Drosophila melanogaster: one gene and its partners. The protein of the gene in region 3 purifies or fractionates together with the protein of the main gene of each other region. This does not show direct contact. Each region holds a gene or a part of one and is shown on either strand. Other genes may lie near its edges.

Region 1 (3,823 bases), on a different chromosome or scaffold from region 3:
TGCAGAATCAACAGCTGGTACGGCACATGAACACTCACACGGGGAACCGACCATACAAGTGCAACTACTGTCCAGCTGCCTTCGCCGATCGATCCACGAAAACCAAACATCATAGGTGAGAAATATTCGAAACAGTTGAAAGTAAATTAAACTGACATTATTTCTCTCCAGAATTCACACTAAGGAGCGTCCCTACGTGTGCGACGTTTGCTCCAGAACGTTTACCTACTCGGACAACCTGAAGTTCCACAAGATGATTCACACGGGGGAGAAGCCGCATGTGTAAGCATCAACATATTTTACTACTTCATTATCCTGCAATAATAGCTATTCTCTTTCAGCTGTGATCTTTGTGGCAAAGGATTTGTGAAGGCCTACAAATTGCGTTTGCATCGGGAAACGCATAATAGACGTATCACCTGGAGAAATGACGCAGAAGAGAGCACCAAAGCAGAAGATGTCAAGGGGGAAACGCCGGAGTTTCTCAATGAACTCCCCAAAGAGTGACATGTTCTTTTTAGTTCTTATGCAAAGTTTAGTCTAAGTATTTAGTAAGCCGTTGTTTAAGTTCTTCCATTAAGCAAATAAATGTACACAGGATATATTTTTTTGTACAATTTGTTTTTTACTTCTTATAAAAAATTAAATAAGGAAAAATGACAAATTTTAATGGCGGTGCCCTATGGCTTAGAACTTATCCATTAATATATTGTACAATTTTCAACGAGAAACTTATTTAATTTGCACCTCAATGTTTCCTCTTAGTCACTGCAATCATTTCACCTCTTTCGTCCTTTTGTGTGACTTTTCGTGGCTGTTTTTGTGGTGCAGCTGGGAGAAGGACTTCTGGCAGTACTGGCAGCTAAATGGTCGTTCACCGGTATGGGTTTTCAGATGAACCCGGAGGACGTTGGAGTAGCCAAAGGACCTGCTGCAGAACTCGCATTTGTACGGTCGTTCGTTGGTGTGGATCCTAAAGTGTATTTAACGTTAGAAACTTCCGTGGATGTCTTAAGATTTAGATTTGAAGTAACTTTTATCAAGACTTGTTAACAATTAATTGACATTAAAGCTGATTAACAGAAATATATCTCTTTTATTCTAGTTATGACAGCCCTATATGTTTTTACCTACCTCTGATGCTTAATGCGAGTGGAGGGATCGGCGAACCTGGAGTCGCAATAGTCACATTTGTAGGGACGATTACCGGTGTGGGTGTTCATGTGCCTCGCCAACTGCGGAGTCTGGCGAAAACGTTTGTGACAGATTCTACAAGATAATGGGATTATGCGATTATAGGATACGATGGGAACAAATTCAAATCAAAATCTTACTCGCATTCGTGTGGTTTCTTCGCGCTGTGGACTTTCATGTGGTTGGTCAACTTTACGCGCTCTGAGTAGACATTGTTGCAAATGTTGCAGGTAAAGGAAGCAGCCTGTCCGGAGTCCTCGTCTTCAAAAGTTACCGGTTTGGGACTAAGTGAATAGACAGATTCCTCTGGAGCGGAGATGGCAGGCTCTATGCTGACCAATTCATCGGCACTACAGGCCACATCCTCGCTGCTCTCCAGCGTTACATCGTATGAGTCTAGGTACTCGTACTCCAACTCGCTGTCGCTACCGGTAGCCTCATTCTTGGACAGGTCTCTTGATTCAGTTTTCTTCTTCGTCTCCTGCTCATCGTGAACAATCTCTATGTTTATCTCCTGCAGCTTCTGCTCCTTCAGATCCTTCTCCGTCTGCTGGCAAAGGGATCTGAGTTTGAGGGCAGCTCTGAGCAGCAGGGCGCAGCTGGTGCAGATGCGATTGGGCCAGTCGGGACTCTCACTCAACTGTGGGTAGGTTTTTAATGGGTAATATAGATCATAATATAGATATTCAAAAACCCACTTCAACTCCTGTGCAGCGTTTGATTTTATCTGGAAAATCGGGCTCCGTGGGCATGAGAGACTCATCCTTAGGCTGCACCAAGCAGATGCGACACTTAAGGTCCCTGCTATCCACGTTGGTATGCATTCTTCTGTTATTGTAGGTACAAATTCCGAAATATTTAATTTTTGTTTGTTTACTGACCAAACAATTAAAATTTGTGCGGCTCCGGGGCGAATGGCAATCGGCCCTTCGATAAATATCGGTGACTGGCCAAACAGCGAAGAGGAAGCAGAGTTATTTTGATCGTTAATTTTTGTCGGCCAACTCGTTTGGTTCAAATGGAGATACGATTGAACATGATGACCCTGTGCAGGACTTGCCTGCAGGATGGCGAAGCCCACATGGTGTCTATTTTCCAGACAGCGGACGATAGGCTGCCCGGTGGCGTATCCCTCTGTGACAAAATCGAAAGTTTGAGTGGAATTCAGGTGGGATCCTTTCGTTTTCCTTGATATTTCTAATTAATTTCAAGTAATATCTCATCCATAGATAAGGGCAACGGCAAAGGAGGAAGTGCTGCCCACCAGAATCTGCCTCAGATGCAAGGCATTTCTAACTCTGGCCCACAAATTTCGACAGATATGCCAGCGCTCCAATGAATTTCTCCGGGAATACGTGATAAAGGATGCAGTCGAGCAAGGGGTAGTCAAGGAGGTGGTGCAGCAAACGCGACCTTCAACTCCGCCACCGATAGAGACTGAGCAGCTTGAACCACCAGAGGATGAGGTGCTTGAAGAGGGAGTTTGGTCTACGGAAGATCCCATTGAAGAAACGCCACATGGCCCGGCGGAAAAGGAAAGGCCCACAGTTCTAACGGTGGAAATGCTTCCTGCTCCTTATCCTCCGCCTGCATCTACTCCTCCACCTGCTCCTGCTGGTGCCGTCAAGGGTAAATTGCATGTGTGCGCTATCTGTGGCAATGGATATCCCAGGAAGAGCACGCTGGACACCCACATGCGAAGGCATAACGATGAGCGGCCTTACGAGTGCGAGTAGGTGTACTTACCACTTTTTTGTGTATATAAATGTCTCAGTCATGTGGCTCTTTTTAGGATTTGCCACAAGAGCTTCCACGTCAACTACCAGCTGAAGCGCCACATCCGGCAGCACACGGGAGCTAAACCATATACCTGCCAATATTGCCAACGCAACTTCGCGGATCGCACTTCCCTAGTTAAGCATGAAAGGTAAGCAAAGAATACATAATTATTCCAGTAAAAACATTTCTGTATCTTTTGGAACCTCTATTAATTAACTACAAGTAGAGACTAGCTAATTAATTGTATTTCCTCCACAGAACCCATCGAAATGAGCGTCCTTATGCCTGCAAGACCTGCGGAAAGAAGTTCACATATGCCAGTGTCCTTAAAATGCACTACAAGACGCACACGGGCGAAAAACCCCACATGTAAGTGGTTTCGGTTTTAAACTAAATCAAACCTAAAACTTATCACGTTGCTATTATTACTTCAGATGCCAACTCTGCAACAAAAGCTTCGCTCGCATTCACAATCTCGTGGCGCATCTGCAAACGCAACAGCATATAAATGATCCACGACTGACTGCCTATCTAAGTACCTTTAAAGTGGGGATTACTGTAGCTAATGCTTAATAATATAATATTTATAAGATCGCGACATTTTACCTTTGCTTAAAGCCTAAAACTTTGTATATACGACCTTTGTTATATAAAGTTTGCTAGAAAGATTTCATGAAACTAACTAAAAAGCATTCTAAAAAAAAAAACAAACTGTTTACATTTTTACAATTTATTCTTTTACTTGACTTACTTGCAAAGCGGTACGCAATCTTTTTTCTTTGTTTTGTTCTTTTCTAATTTTTGTTTTACAAAATTTTACAACTTTTATGTGTTGTACGAGGGAAATGCC
Region 2 (3,560 bases), 4.3 Mb from region 3:
CCCTGCGCTTTAAGCCCATGCTCCAGCGGGGCGTGGAGCTGGCCTCGCTGGACGCCGCCTGGGTCTCCTCAGCCTCTTGGTACTTCCTCAACGTGTTCGGCCTGCGCTCCATCTACACACTGGTTCTTGGCGAGAACAATCATGCCGATCAGACGCAGGCACAGGCGGATGCCATGACGGGCGCCGCCATGACTATGCCCCAGGATCCAAAGGCCGCCTTCAAGGCCGAGTGGGAGGCGCTCGAGATAACCGAGTACCACAACGCACTCAAGAACATTGACGCTGACATGCTGGCTATCGCCAGTGCACCCGCGGCATCATCCTAATTAAGTTATGTATTTTAGCAAATTCACAATGTAACAAAGTAGATTTTGTTTCGAGTCAGAGAGGGTTAAAATAAAGCAAGTTGTGTGACTACAATGGGAAACCAATCCGTTCTGCATGGAAATCCAAATGTAATGCCCATTCCCAAGTTTTGTATTAAAGAAACACTTTCGATTATGATTGCTATGACTGGAAATTTAAACTATGTGCCACTCCCAGTCGCGTGTCAACAGAACGATAAAAACAAGCAACTGTGCAACGTAACTTAATAGTAGGCCTCTTCGGTGGCCTCCGTTTGTGGAGCTGGCTCCTCGGTGGCCGGCTCTGGAGGAGCGGAAGCTGCTGGCGACGGAACCTTCTGCGGAACAGGCGGCGACGGAGACTTCTGCAGCGCGGGCTCCGGCTCACTCATCGGATCCGTGGCGGGACCTGTTGCCTCTGCGTCCGTGTCTTTGGAGGGTCCGGGTTCACCGCGACCCGTGTTCAAAGGCGACGGAGGACGCGCAGTGGCCTGCACCTTGAACTGCTTCTCCGGCTTCTTCAGATCCTTCGGCTTGCCCATCAGACGGTAGTCATTGGGCAATTCAGCCTCTGTGTATAGCTTATCTGCGAAGTAGATGCGCCGGATGCGTACGTTGGCATGCAGCTGCAAGGATACCGTCTCCAGATAGTTGGAGCCGTAAGCACGGCGCGTGAAGTCGGCCAGGTTAAACTGGATCTGGTTCCACCCCGGTGACATGCCCATCGGCATCGCCGTGCAGAAGGGCTTCACGGAGGTCTTGCTCTGGAAATTGGACACTCGGAAACGGCGCATGAAGCGCTGATCGTCTTGAATCTAAGGATATATTGTCATCATTGTGCAGTCCAGAGTTTACTATAAATTCATAGCACTTGGCCTTACCTTAACTTCGAAGCAAAAGTACTTGTGCATGTTCTTTATAAGGAGCACCAGGAAGGGCAACTTGATGCCCAGCTGCTCCTTGCATTCGCTGGGGCAGTGTATGAATGTGGTGGACACATTTGAGCCCATTATCTCGAGCACCAGGGACTTGATGTCCTCATCGTAGATCCGTTTGATATACCCGTTTTTGGTCTGTTACAAGGATGCTTTCTAGAGACGAGGCAGCTGCATTGAATGCCAGATACTCACATAGGAAGACCAGTTGTTCAGGGGCGAACTGCCTACGCTGTAAAGCACGGTAAGGAAACCTTTTTGATAGGCTGCACGATACATTGTCGGTTGTATATTTTGAAACTGTGTGTGTGGTTTCAACGATCAAACTATGGACATGTGACTGAGTTAACACAGCAAACTTAAACGAAATCTAGACTAATTGTAGAATGGATTATAGGTGACCCAGTGGGCGCGCTCCTGGTCCTTTTCGGTTTTATGGGAGGTGAAAAGGGACTTGTAAACATCGCTGGCCTTCGGGTCCTTGGCCACGCTGAAGTCGCTCTTGAGACGCTTCAGTTCGGGATCCTGCATTGCATTAACGGCGCCCAGTCGTTTGACCGGCGCCACCGCCTTGGTTTTTGTGCTTGTAGTGGGCTTCTCTGCGGCTGCAGCCTTGGATGTGGACGCCACTGGCTCCTGTTCCTCTGCGGGCTCCGCTTTCACCTCCACCTTTTTGGCACTCTTCTTGTCCTTTTTGGAGGACTTACGCTTGGCCGCACGCATTTCCATCTTGACCCGCATGAGCTCCATGTCCTCCTCGTTGCCATTGAGGACCACCACGTCCTCAACGCTATAGGCAGCCTGGCACAGCGGACAAGTGCTAGCCACACTGCCTTTGATCTGTTTCAAGGCACGCTCTGATAAAACGCATCCGCAGCTCCAAAGGGCCACAAAGCGAAATTTGCCGGACATCTCCAGGCCAATCAGCTTGCAGATGTAAGGAGAATGTCGTGTGTCCAGCAGTCCCTCAGTTTTGTCCTCCTCGGTGAAGGCGGGATTGGGTGTGGGATTAAGCTGGCGAATGTCCTTCATGCTCTTCACGTGCGCAGCTGTCTCTGGCATCGGTTCCTTCTCCAGCAGTCGCTCAATGACGCTCTGCTTGGAATAGAGCCTACCCATGCCGCACATGGCGATCGGCTCCTGGAGGCTTTGCTGGGTCAAGGTGCAGTGGCGCCAACGGAACTCCCTCTCCGCATCTTTGTCTTTCTGTAGGGTTCGAGAAATGATATTTCGGTCTGGCTAGGAGGTGCTCCAATCGAATAGACTTACCTGCTCTGGCTTTTGCTTCACGCGCACCAGCTCATCGCGCCTGGGAATAGTTCCTCCATCGCAACCCATGATTATATATTTATCTCAAGAATTACAATATATTTCCTGGGAATTCCTTGTTGGGCAAACTATAATATGCGATTTACAATGGGTTATGATATTTTTCAATTGTTTTACATTTTACACGGTATAAGTATCTTACTTACTTTAAATAAACTAACGATATAAATAACTATATATCTTCAGGTTGTAGTAAATGGAGAAATTCTGTTATGAGCAATAACAAATGTTTTATATACACAATGTCCATAGAGATGGTAAAACACCAAACAGCTGTAGCGACTGCAATGACGATTGCAAACATCGATATCATATATTCGATATAAATTTTGGTATATTACGGTGAACCAAACTCTTAGTATATCGAATTTGATTTTTAAATTTTCGAAAACTAAATTTGGAATTTGCAACATTTTAATAATAAACTCCTACTACGTGTAGTAGAAGGTAAGTAATTATTTCTCATTTTTCCTTCATATTTACTAAAATACCCAAAGACCAAAAAAATAATATTACTTGAATTTATTATCGACAGCTTTATCATAGAATTACAAACTACTGAAGACCAGCTCCTACGCATCCGTAAAGGGGCAGTGCTTGGCATACGGCACATCAATGCAAATGCAGCCTCGGGCGCTAAATCAAATATGAAATTGGTTATAAATTATATATATGGTTTTTAATAAACTTACTCATCGGGGGCATCGTTGCCTATGTGGTACTCCCTTATCAGCGAGGCGAACTCGAAGGGATTCACTTTGCCGCTCACTGGCAGCCTCTTGGATCCACTAAGATTCAGGCAGCCATTGGGACACGGTACTCCCATGAACTTATTGTGTTTAAATGTGGCAGTGGCCAAGTAGCAGATGCTCAAGAAGTGCGAACATCGCGATTTTCCTGTTTGATAGAGAGCACATTTATTTATATATGATTTCTTTTTCCGAGAAAGAGG
Region 3 (4,098 bases):
CGAAAGCTATGACAAATCATTCGTCGTCTTTCCCGAATGCCGACTAAAAGTGCTTGGCAGGGGAATTATCGGAGCCAACATACACGTTAAGCTTCTGAAACTGCCAATAAATAGGATGGTCGTGAGATTCATCACTTACCGGAAGCTAAACGGATACCATCCGTTTCTATTTAATGTTTCCGAGGAACACTGTCGCGTCCTAAGGTATCCAAATCGTCTCAGAGTCTTCTACTATTTCTACACCGCCTTTATGCCCTTTTCCAATATTAATCATACATGTCCCTATAATGTAAGTATTTAGTTTCGCCAATATGACAATCATATTAAATCATATTAAAATATATATTTTAAGGATGATATTTACATAAGGAACTGCACCTTGGATGATCGTATGTTTGCCAAGGTCCCATTACCAAAGGGTAGCTATAAGTTAACCCTCGAAATGGATGATGGTGTCGTGAACTGGATTTCCATCATAAACATCCACTTTGAAATTGACGTTGACTAAGATGAACAAAACATTAGAACACCTAATGGATCTAACACAACGAACACATATTTATTTTGCGTTAATGTTTTAATTATTCCTATGCCCGCTATATGATATAGTTGTCCGATCTGGCCCGTTCCGACTTCTATACTTAATGCAATACAAAGTTCGTTAATGCAAATTGCTTTAAAACTGACTAATTACATCGGTTGTTAATACTCTTCGAGAATACATACACAATATGGCGTCTTATTTACTTCTCTGCTAGATCATTCTGAGTTATATTTATAATGTATTCATATTTACTTTGCTCAATGCTCAATTTATCGCCCCGCTGTGTTATCGGCGAGTTATCAGCAGCGTGGTCGTTATCACCGGCGTTTTTAAAAAACTGATTGCGGCAACAAGACGTCTCCGTTTTATCAATAGTTAATGTTTATTGAAATTTCTTTTCTCTCGTTTAAGGTTTAGGTGGTCAGAGTAAACGCCTCCGCAGTTGGGCAGCAGATACAAAATGTTTTCTCGCGTGTCGTGTCTTTACAATGTTTCATTTAAGAATATGAAGGATGTGTGGTGTGTGCTCATTTGGGATTGATTTATATTTTGGAACAATTTTGGGAGTTAGCAGAACTTCCATCGGTTGCCGCACTCGTTGCACATGACGAAGGTGGTCATAGGTTCATCGGCGGAACGAGTCTGCAGCTGGTTGTAGGTGCAGTTGCGCTTCTTGCACTTGGCGCACTTGAGGAGATCGGTCTTGGTGCCCTGCACGGTGGCCAGCTGGGCATCGTTGATGGCCTCCTTGACGAACTTCTCGCGCAGCTTCTTCATCTCATCGCTGGCCATCTCCTCCGGCGTCATTTTGGCCAGCTGCTTGGCAGTGACGGCGCCGCACATAAAGTTGCCTCGCAATCCAGGATTTTTGGGGTCCTTCAGATTGGCCACGCGTGACCTAATGCGATTCTTGTACTTCATATCCGTGTTATTGAACTCGGAGTAAATGGCATCCTCCAGTTCGGCGGCCATTTCCTCCGGCTCACCGCATCCTTCGGGCACTTCACCAATCTTCAGTGCGGTGGCCAGCATTTCGCGGCATTTGATGCGGACCGCATCTGTCATGCCGCCGGAGGGAAACGAGGTCTGTGACGAGGATGTCGAGCCTTTCTTCTCTTTATCCTTGGATGAGCTGGATGAACTGGACTTATCCTTGCCGGAGATTGACGACGACGACTTGGCGGCACTGGTGGACTTCGAGGCACTGCTGTTGTTGGAGGAGCCCTCCTTAGCGGAGCTGTTGTTCGGTGTGGTTGGCGCCGGGCTGGCGAGGAATCGTTTCCAGTTCTTGATCAGCGTCTTGGCCAGAGCGATCACCTCGTCGTCCTTGCTACTCTTGCGCAGCTCGTTTACGGTCATGCCGATGCGCGTTTTGGTCAGAATGTCGAGATTGATGTTAAGCGTTTGCAGGGCCTTCAGCAGGTCCAGAGCCTGATCCTGTCCCTGTACGGTGGATATATGTATATTTGTGACATGATGCGCGGCACGTTAGCTAATCCCGATACTTACTGTGCCGTCGCTGGCCATCTTGCTCATCTTCTTTTGGATTCGAAACACTTCCTCCTCCACGCTCATTTTGGCCCACTTAATTTGATCAGAGGTTAGGTTAACTGGCGTCGGCTGTCGGCTTTAATCGGTGCTGCGGGTCTGCGACAGTTGTTTATGCGGAAGCCGGGCTATTTCTTTTTTTCCCTCCAATAAATGTTGTTTACTATTTTTTTCGTTTCTGTATTCGCAGAACGAGTTGACAGAACACCCTAACGCGTTTTAGTGTTACCGGGCGGTGGCTTGTCAAGAAATGCCTTCCCATGGCTAATACAATTCCCAACTGGAAGTAGTTTGGGTTTCAGAAGTCAACAGTGTTACCGTATTTTAATGTACATCTGGCTTTTAAGCGAGTACACACACATAGCATTGCGATGTTTTTTAAACTTGCACTGCTTGCAAGCAGGGCTCCACTGTATTTCAATGAAAGAACAGCGTGTTGGGCGTTTTTGAATTATACTAATTACCTTCAATAACAATTCCCTATATATCACTTAGTTTTAATAAATAAATCGTTTGAGTGTGGTCTAGAGATGATGTATTATGATGAAGTGCGGTTGTTGGGGACAAGCGGGATACGTCTGCGGGTCAAATCGGCGGTGGGACATAGTGAGAGGGCAACGGCTCCAAAACCAAGCGTTGCGAACAATCACCAACGCGCCCTGGTACGCGAGAAATGTTGATATCGCACATGACCTCAGCATCCACCTTCAGTTTGAGAACAAATTAAATCAGGCACATACCAGACAACCAGGAGAACACTGAGGAGGCGTCATCAAAGATATCTTTGGACACGTGGCATAAACAAGCCAAACTATTATCTAATCAATATTTTTATACAAATTTTGTATGTTTCCATGTTATCTTCGTTGCTCCTGTTAGTTACTACGTTTCATAGCCCTTAAATTGGTTGCTTAACGTAAAATAAAATTATATTGTATAAAAATAAAGAGGAATTCACCTATAACAAACGAAAAAGTAAATAAATAAGAACTTCCCCATGTTAAAAATGCCACCACCATCTTTACATATAAGTATGTACATATGAATGAATCACTTAGGTTGCTTGAATATTACAATTTCATTAATAGCTAAATCACATTTGATGTGTTAGTGGAAAACGGCTATATATATAAATTATCGAAATTGTGAATATCGAATTGCGATAGCACAATGGGAAATTCCACCACTAGATTTTTGGTACTTTTAACAGATCCTTTTCGGTTTTGCGTTGCGCGAAGTGATCTGAACTTATCAAAGTTTGTAAGGTAATACATAAAGTGAAAAAGAATTAATTTGCTCTTGAAAGGCAGGGTAAGTAGCAAGAGACTATCTTAGTGATATGCAATTAGTTTTGAATCGGATTTAATTTTGCAACATTAAAAATAAGCTCATTAAAACTTGTCTAAATTGACTCGACAAGTTTTTCATTTTCCAATTTTTAAATCCGCAAAATTAAAACCATTTGAAAACGTATTACATATATTATTCCCCTTATCATTTTTAATTCTTCTATTGTAAAAACTATCCCATTTAAATATTAATGTTACACCCATTTTCGTTTTACAATTTTCGAATACTTAAGCTCATTTTGACTTCATTCTTCCATTTTCGGTTATGTTTCAGCGTTGTCGAAGCCCCTTTTTGTACTTCTAACGGATTTTTCTCATATTGTTACACCCATTTTCGTTTTACAATTTTCGAATACTTACTTTTATTAAGCTCCTTTTGACTTCATTCGTTCATTTTCGGTTATGTTTCAGAGTTGTCGAAGCACCTTTTTGTACTTATTACGGATTTTTCTCCTTATTTGACTGTAGCAATTAGAGAGCTTGGCAACCCTAGAACATGAATTCCTAATTTGGTTTCCTCTTTGCGTTCTATTCTAACAGGATCTTGAAAGGTCTAATATAAAAAAAAGATTTTGCGTGTAAAGTTGATTCATTTTTTTAAAAAGAAAATAAGTTGAAAGTAAAAATTGTCCCATTTTCTGGTTATTGGCATCGTAT

The links.
Region 1: the proteins of TfIIS (region 3) and CG4854 purify together in Drosophila melanogaster (affinity purification with mass spectrometry, with the first as the bait; 2 studies listed by BioGRID). This does not show direct contact.
Region 2: the proteins of TfIIS (region 3) and CG17118 purify together in Drosophila melanogaster (affinity purification with mass spectrometry, with the first as the bait; 2 studies listed by BioGRID). This does not show direct contact.

Annotation. Positions count from the first base shown.
Region 1 is NT_033777.3:20,026,350-20,030,172, reverse strand, and holds CG4854 (uncharacterized protein), read right to left. Parts: upstream 2,116-3,823; 5' UTR 2,019-2,115; coding exon 1,893-2,018; intron 1,835-1,892; coding exon 1,335-1,834; intron 1,270-1,334; coding exon 1,135-1,269; intron 974-1,134; coding exon 775-973; 3' UTR 612-774; downstream 1-611. Other genes in the region: trem (trade embargo), read left to right, coding at 1-115, 172-282, 342-507; CG4424 (uncharacterized protein), read left to right, coding at 2,213-2,362, 2,424-2,926, 2,987-3,121, 3,232-3,342, 3,408-3,546.
Region 2 is NT_033779.5:10,728,297-10,731,856, reverse strand, and holds CG17118 (uncharacterized protein), read right to left. Parts: upstream 1,603-3,560; 5' UTR 1,559-1,602; coding exon 1,475-1,558; intron 1,418-1,474; coding exon 1,226-1,417; intron 1,160-1,225; coding exon 590-1,159; 3' UTR 501-589; downstream 1-500. Other genes in the region: EMC3 (ER membrane protein complex subunit 3), read left to right, coding at 1-326; CG6443 (uncharacterized protein), read right to left, coding at 1,655-2,485, 2,549-2,617; CG6431 (uncharacterized protein), read right to left, coding at 3,181-3,244, 3,301-3,505.
Region 3 is NT_033779.5:15,058,380-15,062,477, forward strand, and holds TfIIS (RNA polymerase II elongation factor), read right to left. Parts: upstream 2,379-4,098; 5' UTR 2,120-2,378; coding exon 2,054-2,119; intron 1,988-2,053; coding exon 1,112-1,987; 3' UTR 540-1,111; downstream 1-539. Other genes in the region: CG33679 (uncharacterized protein), read left to right, coding at 1-289, 353-508. UniProt on the Drosophila melanogaster protein: Necessary for efficient RNA polymerase II transcription elongation past template-encoded arresting sites.